Caenorhabditis elegans: one gene and its partners. The protein of the gene in region 4 purifies or fractionates together with the protein of the main gene of each other region. This does not show direct contact. Each region holds a gene or a part of one and is shown on either strand. Other genes may lie near its edges. The genes, in order: dct-16, qdpr-1, gst-27 and lbp-2.

Region 1 (5,304 bases), on a different chromosome or scaffold from region 4:
AATTGCCAATTGGGATTCTTTATATCTCCACAGGGTTGCTCGCTAGTCATCCGGCAATTGTGTAAGAGAATATAATAATAGTCATTAAACGGGCGGAGTCTAATGGAATTTGCCTACAAGTTGGTCAAACTTCGCGCTAAATTTTTTGGCCAAAATCTTCTAATAAATAAAAGGCAAACATCAAAAATTGTTTGAAAATTTAAACAAGTCGAGATAATATTTTCGGCGTTTCAAAATTTCATCAAGCATTCAATTTTGTTTGAAATTTTTGGTTAAATTTCAGGCAAAAAGTTAAAGAAATTTCTAGTTTAATAATGAAATGTTGAGAATTTTTTGTAAATTTTCTAAATTGAAACAAAAATCCAAAAACTTTACACACAAATTTATAGGACGAGAATAAAGTTCAACAACTGAGATTAAAGTTCTAAAATTTCCAAACAAAATATATATTTTCAATTCAAAATAGAAATATGGAATTATTTTTAAAAAACTGCAGTTTTCTAATTTCAATTTTTAAACTTTTTTTTCTTAAAACTTCAGCAAAAATTAAATCAAGTTTCAAGTATTTTCTGTAAATTTCAATTTATCACTTCTTATTAGAATATTAGATTATCCTTTTGGTAATTTTTTTTAATATAATGGTATTGCTTCATCAAAATTTATTTTTCAGAACTACCATACGCTATTTGATGGATATTTTCACGTCATTTGTTGCCATTAACGCCACCGTTCATTTCTTAATTTGCCTCGGCGTAAACGCTCATTATCGAGACACTGTTAAAGAGCTATTCCGCTGGAAATTTGAAAAATTGAGGAAAACTTCAGATGACTCAACTATGAATTCTCAGAGTGTTGGCCAACCTAGAATTGTCGCTTGATCAATTTTTTTTCAAATTTTTCTACTTTCCAATTTTTATTTTGAACCCCGTGTCCTCTTATTATTTTTGAAATTTAATTCCGCATCCCATCAAGATTACCCTCCGACCAGAACCTCGTCAGACCCCCACCCACACCAGCGCACGTGATAATTAATCATAGTATACCTATACTTGTTGACTATATCCCCCTTAATTCCCATGAGAAGCATCTCATGTGTCTTAATTGAGGGGTACACAGCGAGTTGTAAAGAGGTTGTCCTTAACAACCAAATTTCTGAATCTTTTGCAAACTCATTGCTTTGAATTTCACAACTAAAATGAACCCCGATGCTCCGAGTGTCGAGGAGAAGCTCACCGTCGATGAGTGCTACGTTATTTCCAAGGTGAGCTGAGATTTATGCTAACAAAAAAGCTCGAGTGTTTTTCTTATTTTCAGGAAGATTGGTTTGAGCCAATTTTCTGTAAGCCGAAGCTTATCCCGTTGAAGACTGTGAAAATGCGAGAGATCGAGAAACGACGCAATGAAAACATGGAGAGGGTCAAGGCGATAGAGGTGAGTTTTTTTTTGAGAAACATATAATTTACTTATTTACATTCTTTTTTCAGACAGCTTCAACGTCAGAACAAAAGAACCCAGAGGTGGTACCCAAGGAGCCAAAACCAGAAAAGCCTCGGAACCCGGAAGAGCTCAAGAAACAGAATGAGTTGAACAAGATCGATTTGTGGATCGCCGACGAAGATCCGGCACGTCGCAAGTGACTATTGTCTACTTGTAAACAATAATCCTAACAATCCTATTTTTAACTCCAAACTTTTCGCGATTTCAATTTTCAAAAAACATTCCAGACAACCTCTAAACCTACATGATCATCCTAGTACTTCTTGGCCCAAGCGCTATGTCCAAAAAGTCAGGTCTACCCTATGTACTGCCGTGTAGTCAAACAAGCTTCACCATCATGCCATTCACCTTCTTCCCATCATTTCTCCTGCCCTCTTATCTCTAAAAATTGTGATTTCTGATTATTTCAATAAATAATAAATATGTTTTGCGTTGAAATTCTGGTCATTGAGATTTTTTAGGTGGTCTGTAATCATGGGCTCTTAAAACTTTGATACACCTGAGCTTAGGCCAAAGCTAATCCTTAAAAAAAAGCTAAGCCTAAACGCTAAACCGAAGCTATTGGGATTATTCATGTGATGCCAAAAAATGCACAAATGATTTTTATACAGTTTTACCCTATCCCTAAAAACGAAGGCATTTTTTTTAATTTTTCAACATTTTTCGACATTTATCTACATCGGCCGACAGCCCGCTTCACATGAAAAATGTAGAAAAATGTAGAAAAATGCAAAAAAAGCATGTGTTTTTTTTACATTTTTCTACACACATGAATAGATAGGGGAAAAATGTAAAAAATACATTTTTGCATTTATCGTCATCTCATGAATAACCCTATAAAGCCTAAGCCTGGGCCATAGTTTTTCTGGAAAATATCAGACATTAATCTCTATTTGCCACATGGATTCCAGCAAGTTTCCACGTTAAAATCTTCGCGAGCCGTCATATCACTAAAATTCCTTATCTACATAGTGTTCTTGACACATCATTAAATTAGTTGCTCGCGGAGCAACAACTGCAAAAACGGTCTTCGTTCGGAACACGTAAGCATGCAAACACGCGCTGGAAGAGCAAAGTGCATGCGGTCACAAACATTTTTTCTCGGTATAAAATGCCAAGCGGGGTGCCACATTTCGGCATAGGCATCAATTTTCACTGCTGCTGCTGCTGAATCAACACTAAAAATGGCCGAGAAACGTGAGTTTTTGGATGTATGCTTATTTTTTCAAGAATTCATGTTTTTTGTTCAATTTGAAAAAAATTTAACAATAAGACCGAAAATGGCGAAAAATTGAAATTTTCAATTTTTGTTGATTTTTCGGCAGAAAAAAGTATGTAATTCTTTAGCAAGTTATTGTTTTGATTTTTTACATGTAATTGTACAATAACCTCATATTCCAGATATTATAGGATACAACACCAAAAAATGATTTAATTTTTTACATTTTTAGATGTCAGGCTGTCCCATTTTGGTGAGATCTACAAAAAAAGCGGGAATTTAGACGCAGACTTCTCAACTGATTTTACATGGTTAAGAACATGCTGACACGTCACATATTTTTGGAAAAAAATTCCCGCATTTTCTGTAGATCAAACAGTAATGGGCAGTCTGACACCACACGCTTCCAATAAAAAAAGTTTATTAAAAATATCGGAAACTACCCGAACATACAACCAACTTGAAAAGTACAGCACACACGTGGTGTCAGGCTGTCCCATTACGGTTTGATCTACAAAAAATGCGGGATTTTTTAACCCAAACAAATGTGACGTCAGCACGTTCTTAACCATGCAAAATCAGTTAAGAAGTCTGCATCTCAATTCCCGCCATTTTCGAAGATCTAAGTAGATCAAACCACGCAAATTACCTAATAAAAATCCAAAAATTGAAAATTTTCGGATTTTTTGTAGGTCTCCTAATACCCTACTAATATGTAAAAAAAATTTCAGTCGCAAAAGCCAAGGAGGAGATGACAGCCGCCGGTCTCTCGCCAGAATCCATCGAGGGAATTCTCAAAATCGCCGCCACTTACAAGAAGAAGGACGATGAGCCAGAACGTGATGCTGCCACTTCTTTGGCAATTATCACAAAAATGATCGGAGAGACCAATGAGTATATTAAGGGACAATCGGAAGCCGATCAGAAGATCTACGCTGTCATTATTGAGAAGAAGAAGGCCGAGCTTATCGAGGCCGCCAAGAAGCAATAGATTTTCTTTTTGTTTTGAAATTTTATTCTATTATGAGCTTGTAATAAAATAATTTTTGTAATTTTAAACTTGTAATGGTCACATACTTTTGGGAAAAAAATTCCCGCATTTTCTGTAGATCAAACAGTAATGACACCACGTATTTCTAATGAAAAAGTTCCTTTAAAATTTCGGAAACTGCCCGAACCTACTTGACCTACTTGAAAAGTAATGTACATACATGGTGGCTGTCCCATTACGGTTTGATCTACAAAAAATGCGGGATTTTTTTGCCCAAAAAGTGCACGCTTTTATCCATGCGAAGTCAATTGAGAAATCTGCATCTCAATTCCCGCATTTTTCGAAGATCGAAGTAGATCGAACCACGCAAATTTAATTCAATTATGAGCTTGTAATAAATAATTTTTTTGTAATTTTGAACTTGTAATGGTCTTTCCAAGTGATTTTTCATGGAAAATATATTCTTGTAAATTTTTTAAAAATCTCTATTTTTTCTTATAAAATCAGCTTTTTTTTCGATAAATTTTTGTGACAAAAATTGATTTTTTAAGATTAATTTTTCGATTAAAACCCTGAAAATTTTAAATTTTTTTTCGAATTTTTTCGATTCGATTTTTTCCCAGACAGTTTTTCGAATTTAAACAAAAAATTCATAAATTTCTATTTTTTTCTACATAAAAAACACAATTTGGCACATAGAAAAAAGGCGGAAAAATCACATAAAATATGCTTAAAAATTGGAAAAATCCTGAAAATACGGGGCTTCAAATCACATAAAATATGCTTTAAAAATTTCAGAAAAAACCGAAAATTATGAGTTTTGTTTCTTCAAAAACTGATAGACGACACCGAAATCCTTTGCCTGGTACTGTGGATCACGAGCCAGAATACGGTAGATTTGATGAGCCAGTGAGCCCATTGGAGTTGGTGCTTGAGTATTTGTTGAAGCATTTTGAGCCAATGAAAGGTCTTTTGCCATTAGAGTCGTTCCGAAGCCGCCAGCATAACCCTGAAATTGGAAATTTTAGGTTGATCGGCGGAATTTAGGAGACTTTCATTGAAATTTTTGAATGAAATTTCTGGCAAATCGGCGAATTGGCACATTGCCGGAATTGAAAATTTCCGGCACACCGGCAAACCGGCAATTTGCCGAAAATGAAAATTTCCGGCAAATCGGCGAAACGGCAAGTTGCCGGAATTAAAAATTTCCGGCAAATCGGCAAACCGGCAAGTTGCCGAAATTGAAAATTTCCGGCAAATCGGCAAATTGAAGGAATTGAACGTTTCCGGCAACTCGACAAACCGGCAAGATGCCGATTTGCAAAAATGTTCCAGATATTCGATTTTTTTTTTGAAAATTTCAACTTTTTTGAATTATTTTTAAATCAAAATTCCTATTAAAATCATCAAAAAATTGGAAAGTTATAAATTTAAGCTAAAAATTCAAAAAATGGCGAAATTTAATTTTTTAAATGAATTTTTTGAGGACAGAATCAAATTTTGAGATTTTTTTTTTGCATTTTTACGGATTTTCAGTCAATTTTCCATCCATACCCTGCACGAAGGGATGTTTTCAATGACTCCGGGTACTGGATTG
Region 2 (5,550 bases), on a different chromosome or scaffold from region 4:
GTATCAAGACCCTCAACGAGGATACAATTCAGGTGCGCGCCAGAAAAATTCTCAATGGAGCGCGCCGTGTTGTGTCGATTTACGATTTTTCTTCAGTTTTGTCGGAAAAAATGTTCCATTGACAACAATAATCCGACGAAATTGAACGAAATTTGTTGGAAAACGTCAATCATCTCGTAAATTGACATGTCACAGCGCGCTCCAATGAGAATGTTTCTGACGCGCGTTTGAAAGTCGTCTTAAAATAATTGAATTTTTCGCGCTACATTGACAATTGCCTGCTGGAAAGTCGTGTACTCCACACGGACAAATACATTTAGCGTTGCAACTAAACCCCGGCCTTGGCCGAGTCAAAATGAGCCAGAACCGCGTGTGCACATAGATATTTGGAATCAGGAGTAAAATAATAATTCCAGGCTAACGCTCGTTTCTTCGGTGGAGACATCACAAAAGTGCCAACACAAGCTCTGACAGTCGGCGTCCAGACTGTAATGGATGCTCGTGAAGTGATGATTCTCATCACAGGATCACACAAAGCGCTGGCTCTTCATCAGGCAATCGAATGCGGAATCTCTCACATGTGTACGGTCTCTGCGATGCAGATGCATCGATGTGCAACGTTTATTGCCGACGAAGATGCCACGTTGGAGTTGAAAGTGAAGACGGTCAAATATTTCAAAGGATTAATGAATCATCATCGTTCACTTGTCATGTTTTAATCTGTATTACTTTTTTTCATGTACCCTTCCACTAATTTTCACTGTAACTTTCACTGTAACTTTGAATACTAAATATTGAACATTTTGGTACTCATTATTTGCCCATTATTCTTCCCGAAACATTTCAATAAAATTGAATTTTGAAAAATATTTATTAAACTTTCACAAACAAAACAATTAGAACAAGAATAAATACCAAAAAAAAAATGTTTCACCAATCCTCATCATCCCCCTTATTTCCACGTTGTCCCTTCTTATTTTTCGCCTTCTTCTGTCCTTTTTCTCCTGGTTTGTTGATGAGCAACGTGGCGTGTCCGGTTTCTTGTAAATGAGCAAATAACCTGGTCCGGCTATCGAATACCTCACGGCATTTATCACAAATTGCAGATTTTGGTTCAGTTGACTTCGGTGCTTCTTCCTCTACTGTCGCCGATGGGTTTTGATTTTTATCAGCTGAAAACAAAATTTTTGTTTTTGTTTTAAAGATTTTGCAATTCTACAAAATGTACCTCTTCTCTTCTTTTTCTCTTTCTTAACAACTTCCGGGGTACATTCCTTTTCCTCTTCCTCCGGCTGCTCATTTTCCACGGGCGGCGCTTCCTGAATCTCGGCTTCTACTGCTTCTGTTTCTTCCACATCAAATATTCCATTCCCCTTTTTCCTATCCTTTCTCTTATTCTTCTTTCCTTTCGGTGTTTCGTCGGGTTTCGGTTCTGCTTCGGTGAAAATCGTGGAATCTTCTTCTTTCATATGCTTTTTCAGCTCATTCAGCTGACGGATGTGTTGCTTCGAGTTCTCATGATTCAACTTGGCGTTTCTGAAATTAAGTTTGAAGAATATTATAGAGATGAATATAATCAGACTTTTGAAATTGAGGTGCAAGCGCGCTCCACGGACAAAAGTTGGGTCTCGTTAGGTAGTGGCGGTAAATCCATAATTTTAAACGTTTTCAATATTTTTTCGTATTTTTTGTCTCTCACTTTTCTTCAAGGATTTTCATTTTTTTCTAAAATAATCAAAAAATCAAAAAAATTATTTTTCAGAAAATTGACACACAATTTCAACTTTTTTATAAAGTTTTGTATATTTTGATAAGAAAAATTAGTCTTTTTTCTTTTTTTTTATATCGGAAAATTACATATCGATTTTTTTTTAGTTTTGGTTCATTCCAATTCGAAAAAAAAATTCTCGATGTTTTTTTAAAAATTTTTTCAATATTTCAAAAAATTTGATTTTTAGAAAAATGACCTCAAATTTTTCAATTTTTCTTCTTTTTTTTCATTTTTTAAACGTTTTATTTAGATTTTTCGATTTTAAAAGATCAAAAAAAAATTTTTTAAAGGAGTTCCGATAAATCTATAATTTTCGTTTTTCAATTCTCAATGTTTCGATTATTGTGCATTTTTTAAGCTTTTTTTTAAACAAAAATCGTTTGAAATTAAGGTTTTGCAGCCAATGCCTAACAAGACCCAACTTTGGAGGCGGAGCGATTTAATTTTTCCGTGAAGCGTACTTGCATCTCCATTTCAAAAATGGCATTTTTCTGCGTCTTTATAATATTCTGCTTACACAGTTTTGAACGATTTGCTACAAACAACACAATATGGAAGTTCTTCTCCTTCTTCATCACATTCATCACTACAAGTATCGTAATCCTCGGCCATTTGTAGACTAACTTCAATCAAATGAGCAAGACGGGCTGCCTCGGCTTCTTTGTCGTTCAGATATGAGTTGGCTAGCCTGAAAAATTCAATTTTTTCCTTATTTTTCACAATTTCGGAACTTACTCTTGATTTTTGGCGATCTGCTTTTTTCGATTATCAGCTTGTTTCTTATGTGCTTCCAATTTTTTTTGCTCCAAAATTTCCCTATATGCTTTGACACGTGGATCACGTTTTCGAACAAAAGCGACCAGATTCTGAAAAATTTTGTTAAATTTAAATTTAAAATTAAATATTCCGGACAATCATACCCTAATTTGCTCGTTCCTTTCCTGCTTTCCGACATCCCTAAACTTCTTATTTTCCTGATCGATTTGCCGTGATTCGAATCGATTTGAAGCCTGTGTGATATCATAATGATCCAGCCAGGCAAAAGAGCGAGTTGTCGAAAAAGAGCTCCAAAAACCGTAGAAACCATTCACAGTTTGCTCCAAATCGGTATCCTTGTCGCCAAACTCTGGATAGACTATTGTTGAATCGTTGTACGCATCATATTCCTCAGAAACTAGGATATTGAAGACTTTCCGGTAGACAGTGAAGAAGCCCTGTAATTTATAATTTTGATTTACTTTTTAGATTTCATTCTCACATTTTTATCGTTTTCATATCCTTGATAGCAAGAAGCGGTGAAATAGGGGAACAAATCCGTGGATTGTTCCTCGAAATCCGTATTTTTTCCCTTCAGAATACTTTCTCTATGTCTATCGTAAAATTCGCGTTCTCGTGGATCACTCAAAACGTCGTACGCAGCTTGAAGAAGCCTAAATTGCTGAGTACACTCTTCGATGCGATCCGGATTTTTGTCGGGATGCCATTTGAGCGCTAGTTTTCTGTAGTTCTTTTTGATTTTATCGTCATCAGCGTCGCGTTCAACTTCGAGCACTTCGTAATGGCATTTCATAGCTGAAATATTTAAAATTTACTCTAAATATGATTTTATTTTATAAATTGAAATGAATAGTTCATGCGAAACCATTTAAATAATAATAGAAACAAGAAAAAGAATTAAATGAAAAGAAAAAGTTATCTATCGTCTCTCCTTTCCACACGATGTCTCGCCATCTACATTAGAGCGCAATTGTAAAAAAATAATTTCCTATATTTTTTCCCACGATGTTTTGACGAATTCTGAGAAGCTAATTCACATTTTCCTGTTGTGATTCATATTAAATGTTGTTGAGCTAAATAAGAGCTATCGATTGATATGTCTGCCAAATTTCTTGCAAAAATATAACTGATAAAACTCTCGATAACAAAAGTTCGTTTCGAGTTCAAGCTCGGAAACCGATTTCCAAAATGTTGTTTCATCTTTATTTTCCTGAATTCCATCAAGTTTTCCCTCATTTAACATTAAAAATCTGTGTCTCTGATCACTCGTTGATACCAGTATCACATTAAAATCGTCCTTGACGTCGTCCACGCGGCCAATTTGTCCTTCAACCTCCATATTGTCATTCTTTACTTTTTCCTTGCAGTTTCGAACAATGTCCAGTGGAAAAGTTATCGTATACGGAGGCAAAGGCGCACTTGGATCTGCTATTCTTGAATTCTTCAAGAAAAATGGTTATGTAAGTTTTAAAAGAAATTGAATTAGGATGTTGTAAATTAATTTTCATTAATTTTCAGACTGTTCTAAACATCGACTTGAGTGCCAATGACCAAGCTGACAGTAATATTTTGGTGGACGGAAATAAAAATTGGACAGAACAAGAACAATCCATTCTCGAGCAGTAAGTTGTATTTTTAATTTAAAAAAAAGCTACCGTAACCTCATAAAATATTTGCAGAACTGCTTCATCTCTCCAGGGAAGTCAGGTTGATGGAGTTTTCTGTGTTGCCGGTGGATGGGCTGGAGGCTCCGCTTCTTCAAAAGATTTTGTGAAAAATGCTGATTTAATGATCAAACAATCGGTAACATATATTAATCCTAAACATCTGGTATTATTCTACCGTGAATTTTCAGGTCTGGAGTTCAGCAATTGCAGCCAAATTGGCCACCACTCACCTCAAGCCGGGAGGTCTTCTTCAGCTTACAGGAGCTGCTGCTGCTATGGGACCAACTCCATCAATGATTGGATATGGTATGGCAAAAGCTGCAGTTCATCATCTGACATCTTCATTGGCTGCCAAAGATTCGGGATTGCCTGACAATTCGGCCGTTTTGACAATTATGCCAGTCACTTTGGACACCCCAATGAACAGAAAATGGATGCCAAATGCTGATCATTCAAGGTAAAATTAAATTACTCTTTTTCTTTTGCATAGTTTTCTATGTTTTTTTTTCAGCTGGACTCCACTCTCATTCATCTCTGAACATCTTCTCAAATGGACCACAGAAACATCGAGCCGTCCATCTTCCGGGGCTCTCCTCAAAATAACCACTGAAAATGGAACATCGACTATCACTCCACAATAATTTTACCGACATTTTTCAGCCTTTTTTACATTCCGCTTATTATCTGTTATTTTTCCATGTAGTATGCTATCAATTTCTAAATCATTTGTCCATAAAGCTTGTGATGTTTTTAAGTAAAAATGTTTTATTATCTAGATGCGAAATATTGCAATTTTTCTGCTGAAAATACGGTACCGGTCTCGACGCGACAATTTCTTATGGTTTTTTTTTAGTTCCCTATTTTCTTTAAATTTATAGAAAATTCTACGGCAACAAAATGTTACAAAATTACAGTACTCCCTAAAGGCGCATCCCTTTTCGAAGTTAATCAAAGTTTGTCGTGTTGAGACCGAGTACCGTATTTTCGGGGCAAAAGTAAAAATTTGCTAGAAACTCGCAAAAGATTTTATACAAATTACGTTGAAAATAACTTTACCAAAATATTATGAATTCAGAGAATGGAAAATATACCTTGGAAGGGGCACACCACTTTTGCGATGGGTCCTGAAACGATTTTAATTAAAAATCTACAACATATTGTTCATGCTCCTTTAAATTACCGAAAAATTGTTTTTTTTTTTCGTTTTCTTTTTCAGCGTATTATTACATAATTCTTGTCCCAAATCTTTAGTTTAATTCGTCAATTCTCACCATATTGATATGACAAGAAAACAGAGAAACCCGCAGTTTATTAGTCACTCCCATATCATTTTCT
Region 3 (5,243 bases), on a different chromosome or scaffold from region 4:
AATCTGCAAATTGTCGGAATTAAAAACCTCCGGCAAATCGGAAACCGGAAAATTGCGGAATTAAATTTTCCGAAAACCCGGCAAATCTACAAATTGCCGGAATTGAAAACTTCTGGCAAATCGGCAAACCAGAAAATTGCCGGAATTGAAATTTTCGGCAAATCGGCAAATCTGCAAATTGTCGGAATTAAAAACCTCCGGCAAATCGGAAACCGGAAAATTGCGGAAATAAATTTTCCGAGAAACCGGCAAATCTACAAATTGCCGGAATTGAAAACTTCTGGCAAATCGGCAAACCAGAAAATTGCCGGAATTGAAATTTTCGGCAAATCGGCAAATCTGCAAATTGTCGGAATTAAAAACCTCCGGCAAATCGGAAACCGGAAAATTGCGGAATTAAATTTTCCGAAAACCCGGCAAATCTACAAATTGCCGGAATTGAAAACTTCTGGCAAATCGGCAAACCGTCAAATTGGGCTCAGGCTCAGGCTCAGGCTTTTGAAGTCCTAGTTTCAACAAAACCAAAAACCACAACCAAAAACCAAAGTGGCAGGAAACGGCAAAAGATCAATCGTTTCAAATTGTTCAAACACAACCAAGCATCAACTGCCAGCACACGTGAAGGCAGAGACATAGACGGTAAACATATAGTATAAAAAGGGTTGGCAAAGTTGTACAGAAAAATAATTGATGCGATTATTTTGTTGTCCAATTATTTTCGGCGTTCCAGTTTTCCTTTTTTGCGTATAAATACTACTTCATTACAGAAAAGTTGTCAAAAATGCCTACCTACAAGCTCACCTATTTCAATGCTCGTGGATACGCTGAGGCCGCACGTATCCTCTTCCACTTGGCAGATGTTCCATTCGAGGACTTCCGTATGACACACGGAGATGGAACATGGGAGAAGCTTAAAGACGGTTAGTGGAGATTTGGGGCCTACCGATTGCCTGCCTATCTTATTATAGCGCGATATTTTGATAAGAAGTTATGGATGGCATTCAAATTTTAAAAAAAGTTCTGACAATAATGGGAAAGCCAAATTTTCTGAGCACACGGTCTTGGATGGGTTAAATTTTTTTCAAAAAATTGTAGGCATCATTTTTCGTAAAAAAGGCATTCCAAATTAAAACAAAAAATTATTTAAAAAATTTCGCCGGAAAAATCAATTTTTTTTATAAAATAGTTTTAGGGCTATGTATATGTAATTGTTTCGAAACTTTTTTAGCGGGAAATTCACAATAAAAAAAACATTATTTTTCACGATGAAGTTTTGGATGGGATTCGAATTTTAATCTAAAAATTTTTTTCTAGAAACTTTTACAACTTCTGGAGCTTTTTGGAAAATTTCTGAAAATTTTGAAATTTTTAGAATGCTCCAAATACTTACTCACATATATATATTTTTTCAGGCGCCCCATTTGGTCAAGTACCTTACCTGACCGTTGATGGATTTGATATCCCACAATCTGCTGCAATAATCCGCTACCTTGCCAACAAATTCGGATATGCTGGAAAAACCCCAGAAGAGCAGGTTTGGGCAGATGCCATCGTTGATCAGTTCAAGGATTTCATGGGATCATTCCGCGAACGTATCATGGCACATTTCGCTGGAAAATCTCAGGAAGAAATTGCAAAGATCACTTCTGAAGTAGTGATTCCAGCTAGAGATTCGTACTTTAAGATTCTCAATGGGCTTCTTGAAAAGAGCAAGTCAGGATTCCTAGTCGGCGACAGTATCACCTTCGCGGACATTGTCATCTCTGAGAATATTACTACTTTGGAGAAAAATCAATTGTTTGTTGCTTCGGAGCAACCAAACTTGGCTGCTCTTCGAGAGAAGGTCTATGCAATTCCAGCTATCAGGAAGTGGGTAGAGGCTCGTCCAGATACTCAGTACTAAATCGAAAATTTTCTTGAAATTTTGTTCAATGAAGTAATATAATTACAAATTCGAATAAATTTTTAAAATGCACCACTATTTGCATTCTTATTTGCAATTTTCCTCTCAATCGCAGCTGCCTTCTTCCTCTAAAACCCGCACTCAACATCATTCTCAACAACACCGTTTCTGCCAAGTGCACGCGTGGCCTGCTGGATAACGAGTTGGTCTCTCGTTCCGACTGCCACAGGTTCGTGCCCTCTCACCGCCTCTCTACCAAACACTTGCAAGTTCTGTTTATTGCAAGTGCATGGAAGAGGCGAATAGAAAACGGAATGATGTCCACTCCTTCGATTATCGTTCATTGGATTGCGGGCACTTTACCTCGTTCGACATTTTTTATTTTAACTTAAAGTAGAATTTTGGATTTTATTGACTCTCCGTCCGAATTTTTATTGACTCTTCTCCCACCTCCCCCCCCCCCCCCCCATCCATTTCTTGGTTTTTGGTTTATTGATCTCCACGACAGTTTGATAACACTTTGCGGAGGAATTTTTCCCAATCATTTTGCTTGCAGAATCACACAAGAAAACTGTCTGGTTGTGGTTTTCATTTAACTAAAATGCCATCCTACAAGCTGACCTATTTTAACGTGCGTGGATATGGAGAACCAGCTCGTATTCTGTTCCATCTTGCCGATGTTCCATTTGAAGATTTCCGAATGACCATTGGAGATGGAACATGGGAAAATCTCAAAGCCAGTAAGTAATAGCGACCTTGAAACGCCATATTAAAATTTAAAAAAAACTGAAATAAAGTAGCCAAGACAGAAATTGAACATTATTTTTTGTTTCTATTTAGAAACTCCATTTGGACAAGCCCCAGTCTTATCAGTTGATGGATTTGAAATTCCACAATCCGCTGCAATCAACCGCTACCTTGCCAAGCAATTCGGATATGCTGGAAAAACCCCGGAGGAGCAAGCCTGGACTGATGCTATCGTCGATCAATACAAGGATTTTATGGTATCAATCAAAGAAGTGGGAAAAGCAAGCGCTGCTGGAAAGTCTGCCGAGGAGGTCGGGAAGATCATCCAGTCAGATCTCGTTCCGGCAAGAGATGCATTCTTTGTGATAATCAACAAGATCCTTGAGAAGAGCAAGTCCGGATTTTTAGTTGGAGATGGTCTAACCATCGCAGATATTGTGATTGTGGAATGCATCACAACTTTGGACAAACATCAGCTCTTCACTGCATCGGAGCAACCAAAATTGGTCGCGCTTCGAGAGAAGGTATATGCGATTCCAGCAATAAAGAAATGGGTTGAGATTCGTCCAGATACCCTGAACTAGGTTTGTTTTAAATGTGCTGATATATTAATTCAATAAATCGTTATGTTATGTTCATGTAATCTCATTTTATTTTCAAATACGTTAATTCTGAACGTGTTAATTCTATTTTTAACTTTATTTTTCTATCTAGATTGAAGCTAAACTCAGTTCTGTTCAATTTTACAGTTAAAAAAATTTTATGGTCCAGGATACATTTTTTAAAATTGTACAATTGACCTTAAATTGTTATTTTTCTCTGAAATACTTTGTAAAAATTAATCATGGTTTGACTTTTTCTGTCAAATATTTGATAAGACTATGCGGAAAGACTGCATTTTTCCAATGCTATTTCGAAAAATTGTTTGATATCGGAATCACACTATCACACATACCTATATTTAAAACAGACAGATCACTATGCCTTCCTACAAACTCACCTATTTCAACGCTCGTGGCTACGGAGAAGCTGCTCGTATTCTCTTCCATCTTGCCGATGTTCCATTTGAGGATTTCCGTATGACCCATGGAGATGGAACATGGGAAAAGCTGAAAGAAAGTAGGTCATTTATATGTGGCAAACACTAAACTCAAAGTAAGTATTTCAGAAACTCCACTCGGACAAGTCCCGGTCCTATCCGTCGATGGATTTGAAATTCCACAATCTGCTGCAATCATCCGCTATCTTGCCAATAAATTTGGATATGCTGGAAAAACCCCGGAAGAGCAAGCTTGGGCAGATGCCATCGTTGACCAATTCAAGGATTTCATGGGATCCTTCAGAGAAGTCGGAAAAGCACATGCCGCTGGAAAGCCAGCTGAGGAGATTGCAAAGATCATGCAATCAGATGTCGTTCCGGCTAGAGATGCATTCTTCGTAATCATCAATGGGATCCTGGAGAAGAGCAAGTCAGGATTCTTGGTTGGAGATGGGCTCACTTTTGCCGATATTGTAGTTGTGGAGTGCATCACAACTTTGGACAAAAATCAGTTATTCACTCCAGCGGGAGAGCCAAAGTTGGTTGCTCTTCGGGAGAAGGTCTATGCGATTCCAGCTATCAAGAAGTGGGTCGAGATTCGCCCAGATACTCAGTACTAAAGTTTGTTGTAAATTGTTTGATAATTGAATACAATAAATAGTTTTAATATCTCCTTGTAAAAATTCAAATTATTGTGGGAATATAAATTCACTAGTGTAATTTAATTTTCTAAAAATTTCATAGTTCTGTTCGCTACAGTAACAGTGCTGCTTGAGTACCGAAGATAATTCTCAAGTGCTTCGAACCACTCTTTTCATTTATTTCATACTCATATGTAACCTAAAACATAGAGCTGTGTACTGTTTTACTATTGAGTACGAAAATTTTATTTCAAACATGTTATCAAACAATCAATGGAGATGTGAACAACCCGTATTAGATGATAATACAATCAATGGAAAAGAAAATACCCTGGGTTTTCAAAAAAACATACAAACTACAACAAAACGCTCTATGAAGCCAATTCCATCGAATGCGGAGTAGGAGCAACTGCACGTTTCCGTCGGAATAAGAGCTTAATGTCATGCGTTAAAATGAATATTACTGGCAACAGAATGAGAGCATGAAGCATTCCAAGTATACCGACCAGGATCACAGTCTTCCAGAATACTGCTACAACATACGCACGTACAAACATCAATGGGAACATGCCAAGAATCGTGGAGAGCCCGGACTGCATTACTGGCCAGGCGACTCCGCGGAAGGTGCTTAGAAGACGGTCACGAGTCTCGGCGTAGTTATGTGATCTCCAGAGTTGCTCCTAGAAAAATATGAAGTTGGTTTGAAAATGGGGTACGGTTGTTTGGTATGGTGGATGTAGTGTGAAGTATGTAAACATCGTGTGGGGCTGTCCCATTACGGTTTGATCTACAAAAAAAATGCGGGGATATTTCGCCAAGAGAAATGTGTTGAAAATCAGTTGAAATCTCTGCGTCTCAACTCCCGCATTTTTTGTAGATCTACGTATTTCAAACCGAAATGGGACTCTCTGAC
Region 4 (5,197 bases):
GAGCAAGGTGCTGGCCAAAAATGAAACTCCTGGAAAATACAACATGGAAAACTTGACTTCAAAGAAGAATACACTCTACCACGGGTGGGAGCTCGGGAAAACTTTCGAGGCAGAAGGCCTTGATGGAGTTGCACACAAGGTTTCAAAAAATATTCAAGTGTCTTAAAAATATTGTTATATTTAAGATTACCTTCTCCTTCAAAGACGGAGTTTTGTCTGAGCACCATATCCGACTCAACGACCCAGAACACAGCGCGGAGACGTACTACTACACTATCGAGAACGATCAACTTGTCATGGTGTGTACTTCGTTCTCTTTTCCTTTTTTCCATTTTACAACTTCTTCCACTAATTTTCTCATTTTTAGAAAATGGTCAACAATGGAATCACGTGCCGTCGTTGGTTCAAGCGATCGACCGGAAAGAAGTAGAAATTATAAACACAACATAAAACTGAGCTCTTCACATTATTAATCACAGATGTTTATTTTTTCTGTCCTTTTAAATAAACAATTGTCCCTTTAGACTTGCTCTGCCATTTTCAAAAATTGCATGATCTCACAAAAAAAAACGAATGAACAGATGGAGGTCAAACATCGAAAGTGGACATAGAACAGATTAGCCAAGGTACAAAGTAGATGGGTCTATTGTAGCCCAATAAAACGTGAGAATCGTATTGGCCAATTTACGGGAAAGGCCATCTGGAAAACAATGATCTCTAATATGAATTCTGTCATCTGGGAATAGGGCTCAAACATTTGAAAACCAGAAAAAAAAACAATTTTGTGTCTTAAAAATTTTAGCTAGTGTTGAAAGTTTAAAAATATTTTTGAAAAATTGTGTTTTATGGGATCCTTACAATATTTTTTCGTTTTCATTTTGAAACCAAAAAAACCCAAAACCGAATGTACCGAAATTCTGCGGCAAAAAAACTTTTTTTCTGAAGTCGTTTTCTTTTTCTGTGGGTCGAATTCTATATGAATAAAAATTTTCATAATTTTTTCCGGTAGTTTTTTTTGGTTTTCCAAAGTCCCAGCCCTGCATGGATTGTGTTTTGAACTGCAGACCTGAAGACCTGTTGCCGTATTCAATGTTTGCTGAAGAAATGGAGAATCATACTATAGACTATGAAAGATAATGATAACATAAAATTATATCAACCAAATAAGGAAATTGCAATTCGATTCGCCTTAAACCTTCAACGAAATTATTTTGAGTTGATTGTTCGGTCTTCCAGGACCCGATTCATGCAACTACTCTCTTCAAAAATATCCGAACTGACCCCAACACACGGAACAAAAAAAATCTGCCCCGAATCATTTATGCTACACTCTCTTTCGATACCCATCCGAGTCCAGCCGTCCATCTCTGCTAATCGTCAGCGCAATCGACATGTGGGCTGCACTTCTTGCCGTACAATGTTGTTTACGACTGTGCAAGTAGGCGGGGTCCACGCAGACGACGTCGACACACAGCCCACAGTCCTGCCAAGACGTCAGTCGTTCATTCATCGACCTAGCCAACCATGTGCGCTAAAATCGCTCTTCTCCTGGTTCTTGTTGGAGCTGCTTCAGCTGCTGTTCTCCCTGATAAGTTCTATGGAACTTTTGACTTGGACCATTCCGAAAATTTTGATGAGTATCTCACTGCTAAAGGATACGGATGGTTCACTCGTAAACTTGTCACTTTTGCCACATTCAAAAAGGTGTTCACTAAGACTTCCAACAAGAACCTCTTTGACTACTCCAACTTGACATCAAAGAAAGACGTCCATTACAAGAATGTCCAACTTGGAAAAGCCTTCCAGGGAGAAGGACTTGACAGCACCAAACACGAGGTACGCTTTTGCAAGTTTTCAAGTAACCTTTCAAATTGATTAATTAATTAATTTTCAGATCACTTTCACCCTCAAGGACGGACATTTGTTTGAGCATCACAAGCCACTCGAGGGAGGAGACGCCAAGGAAGAGACCTACGAGTACCTTTTCGATAAGGAATTCCTTCTTGTGGTAAGTTATAAACATTTTTTAAAAACCAATTTCACATTCTCATGATTGTAATTTTCAGCGCATGAGTTTCAATGGAGTTGAGGGACGCCGATTCTACAAACGACTCCCATAAATATTCAGAAACTATTGTAATTTTTGTATGAATTGATTTCTCAATGTACTTTTTTTGCCACTGATGTATTTCAAGTTTCAAATAAACTGAAAAGTTAGATCGATTCTGTAATGTGATATGGGGCAAAAAATAAGAAAAATAACGCGGTTCTTTTGTGATTCATGCTGCATAGCCCTCTGAAGTTTTTTGTTTGGGAAATGTTTTCACTGGTTTAAAAATGTACATATTAGGAGTTCTAGAAAGCAAAGTTGATTAAAATTTGAATTTTTGTTAACGTGTAAAAGTGACACAAGTGTTAAAAAGAAAATTTTGCACATTGAAGACTTGAAATTAAGAATCAAATTATCAGATGAATTGAACCTATGCTGGAATCAAAACATGAAAGTTCGATTGCGCCGTGATATTTGCAAAAACGTAATTCAAAACACAAAAAGGACACAACCAGTTTAAAATTTCGGGTGGGTCAAAATCCAATCACTTTTCGGTTTTTTTTTTTCGATGTTGTGTTCGAAAGTTTTCTATAAAATGGAGTTTTTTCTACTCTTTCGTATGCTCTTTTTTATTTTTTTTTTCCTGATTTTCACATTTAATTTCTGAATAAGGTACCATTAAATAAGAACCATTTCTCAAAATACATAGTTTAATAACTAAAATCATTGGATCTTGAGGACCTCATTAAAAATATTTTTTTAAGTCTTAAATTGTTTGATGTGCAGTCAAAAAACGTAGCAGTTTTCTTTTCAATTTTCTTAACGCGTTTAAATTTATTTCGACAAAATTCATTCTGCATTTCAACAAGTAATCGATGAATTGTTTTCGTTCGGTCTCTTAAATTTTGTTTATTATTAGCTTCCAGGTGTTGTGAGGATTTTTGAAAATCAAGTAAGTCCGATCATCAATTTGTTGTTGCCATCCGTGCCGTGACCCTATATTACACACGTGGCTGACCTCAGTTTTATTGTGTTGTCGATTGAGCAACTGGGCGGAGTCTTGATCAATCTTCATTTCTGTGGACACTTCAGTCATTCAGTCATTGACTTGAACAAAAATGTCTTCGAAATTCCTCATCTTACTCGCATTTTGTGGAGCTACCCTTGTGGCTGCCGAACAGCTTCCAGAAAAGTTCTATGGAACCTTCGACTTGGATCACTCTGAAAATTTTGATGAGTACCTCACTGCCAAAGGATACGGATGGTTCACTCGAAAGCTTGTAACCTTTGCGACATTCAAGAAGGTTTTTGCCAAGAATGCTAACAAAAACCTCTTCGACTACTCCAACTTGACATCGAAAAAAGATGTGTTCTACAAAAACGTCCAGATCGGAAGCAAGTTCGAAGGAGAGGGTCTTGATAACACCAAGCACGAGGTGAGTTCCATGCCATGTACTTTTTATTTTATTTTTATTTCAATTATAATTTTCAGGTTACCTTCACTCTCAAGGACGGACACTTGTTCGAACATCACAAGCCACTTGAAGAGGGAGAATCCAAGGAAGAAACCTATGAGTATTACTTTGATGGAGATTTTCTTATTCAGGTAAAATTTGGTCAATCTATTTGACATACATTTTTGTTAATTACAGAAGATGAGCTTCAACAATATCGAAGGCCGCAGATTCTACAAGAGACTCCCATAAAAGTTTAAACTTATTCTATTGAAATTTTCTTAAATTTGCAATTCAATTTCATTTCCGAAAAAAATAAATTTATTTTCAAGCAATCTTCTGATGTTTTCAATTTGGAATCTTGGTGGAATGTATTATCCCAATTATTAGTTTTTAATTTTCTACAGATTAAAAAATGAACATGTTGAGGTAAGAAACTTAACACTAGAGTATGATCTCGCTGCCAAATTCTGCAACAACCATTATTTAAACTACAGTTGTCGTTTTCTTTATGTGATTTCATCTAAACGTTGAGTAGCACCAGTGGGAAATTGGCAAAAAACTACGCCTATGGTGCCAAAAGGACCAAATATCAATAATTTTGGAAAATTGTTCATTTACTGTTGAAAAGTGACTCCGTTATTGCCACTCATAATTTTGAAAGTGGACCAAAAAAATTTTCTACTATTTTTACACATTAATTTTGTTTCAATTATTTATGCAGAGATAAAGATCACTTAGCACCTATATTCTACATGTTCTATCATACAAAAAAAAGTGCCATTAATGTGCTAAAAATGTGCTGAAAATGTGCTAAAAATGTGCTAAAAATGTGCTAAAAATGTGCTAAAAATGTGCTTGAAATGTGCTAAAAATGTGCTAGAAATGTGCTTGAAATGTGCTAAAAATGTGCTAAAAATGTGCTAAAAATGTAATTTTAAAAAAAACTTTCGTACAAGCTATTATACTTGATTGGCATTTTTTGGTATTTTTGACTATGCTAAACAGTTTTCTGAAATAAAAAAGAATGACTCCATATGACTTTCCAGGACTTTTGAATTTTTGAAAAAAACCAGCTTTTATATATTTTTATCATTAAAAAAAAAAAACTTCCGTACAAGCTAATATACTTTGATTAGCATATTCTGGTATTTTTGACTATGCTAAACAGTTTTATGAAATAAAAAAGAATGACTCCATATGATTTTCCCATACTTTTGAATTTTTGAAAAAATCAGCTTTTATATATTTTTATCAATTAAAAAAAAAAACTTCCGTACAAGCTAATATACTTTGATTAGCATATTCTGGTATTTTTGACTATGCTAAACAGTTTTATGAAATAAAAAAGAATGACTCCATATGATTTTCCCATACTTTTGAATTTTTGAAAAAATCAGCTTTTATATATTTTTATCAATTAAAAAAAAAAAACGTCCGTACAAGCTAGTATACATTTTTTGGCACTTGCTACAATAAATACATTTTTTAAAAATTCCTTTACAATGCTTTACCTTCAAAATTTTCTTTGTCTTCATTTTGCATTGCAACTGTATGTATTACGAATATGTCTAAAAATGAGAAATTTTAGTCATATCTTACGTGCAAAGGGATTGTCACGTAGACAACGAATTATTGTAACTCACGGTAACGCGGGTTAGCATTTCCAGTGGTCAACTGTGTCTTCCCATAC

What was found.
Region 1: the proteins of lbp-2 (region 4) and dct-16 fractionate together in Caenorhabditis elegans (co-fractionation; one large-scale study listed by BioGRID). This does not show direct contact.
Region 2: the proteins of lbp-2 (region 4) and qdpr-1 fractionate together in Caenorhabditis elegans (co-fractionation; one large-scale study listed by BioGRID). This does not show direct contact.
Region 3: the proteins of lbp-2 (region 4) and gst-27 fractionate together in Caenorhabditis elegans (co-fractionation; one large-scale study listed by BioGRID). This does not show direct contact.

Annotation. Positions count from the first base shown.
Region 1 is NC_003283.11:20,496,386-20,501,689, reverse strand, and holds dct-16 (DAF-16/FOXO Controlled, germline Tumor affecting), read left to right. Parts: upstream 1-2,632; 5' UTR 2,633-2,681; coding exon 2,682-2,694; intron 2,695-3,447; coding exon 3,448-3,707; 3' UTR 3,708-3,766; downstream 3,767-5,304. Other genes in the region: dct-14 (DAF-16/FOXO Controlled, germline Tumor affecting), read left to right, coding at 1,196-1,261, 1,315-1,431, 1,485-1,637; B0250.5 (putative 3-hydroxyisobutyrate dehydrogenase, mitochondrial), read right to left, coding at 4,519-4,716, 5,262-5,304.
Region 2 is NC_003281.10:13,389,995-13,395,544, forward strand, and holds qdpr-1 (Dihydropteridine reductase), read left to right. Parts: upstream 1-3,915; 5' UTR 3,916-3,924; coding exon 3,925-4,008; intron 4,009-4,066; coding exon 4,067-4,170; intron 4,171-4,227; coding exon 4,228-4,351; intron 4,352-4,403; coding exon 4,404-4,672; intron 4,673-4,726; coding exon 4,727-4,856; 3' UTR 4,857-4,985; downstream 4,986-5,550. Other genes in the region: T03F6.3 (Glucosamine-6-phosphate deaminase), read left to right, coding at 1-32, 417-719; dnj-17 (DnaJ homolog subfamily C member 21), read right to left, coding at 931-1,172, 1,229-1,536, 2,289-2,459, 2,507-2,637, 2,692-2,985, 3,030-3,341.
Region 3 is NC_003280.10:15,162,931-15,168,173, reverse strand, and holds gst-27 (glutathione transferase), read left to right. Parts: upstream 1-2,465; 5' UTR 2,466-2,504; coding exon 2,505-2,643; intron 2,644-2,743; coding exon 2,744-3,234; 3' UTR 3,235-3,284; downstream 3,285-5,243. Other genes in the region: gst-28 (glutathione transferase), read left to right, coding at 782-920, 1,413-1,903; gst-26 (glutathione transferase), read left to right, coding at 3,631-3,769, 3,819-4,309; ptr-20 (SSD domain-containing protein), read right to left, coding at 4,702-5,010.
Region 4 is NC_003284.9:3,257,634-3,262,830, forward strand, and holds lbp-2 (Fatty acid-binding protein homolog 2), read left to right. Parts: upstream 1-2,976; 5' UTR 2,977-3,168; coding exon 3,169-3,486; intron 3,487-3,542; coding exon 3,543-3,656; intron 3,657-3,702; coding exon 3,703-3,756; 3' UTR 3,757-3,837; downstream 3,838-5,197. Other genes in the region: lbp-3 (Fatty acid-binding protein homolog 3), read left to right, coding at 1-139, 186-299, 368-430; lbp-1 (Fatty acid-binding protein homolog 1), read left to right, coding at 1,525-1,836, 1,895-2,008, 2,067-2,120. UniProt on the Caenorhabditis elegans protein: May play a role in sequestering potentially toxic fatty acids and their peroxidation products, or it may be involved in the maintenance of the impermeable lipid layer of the eggshell.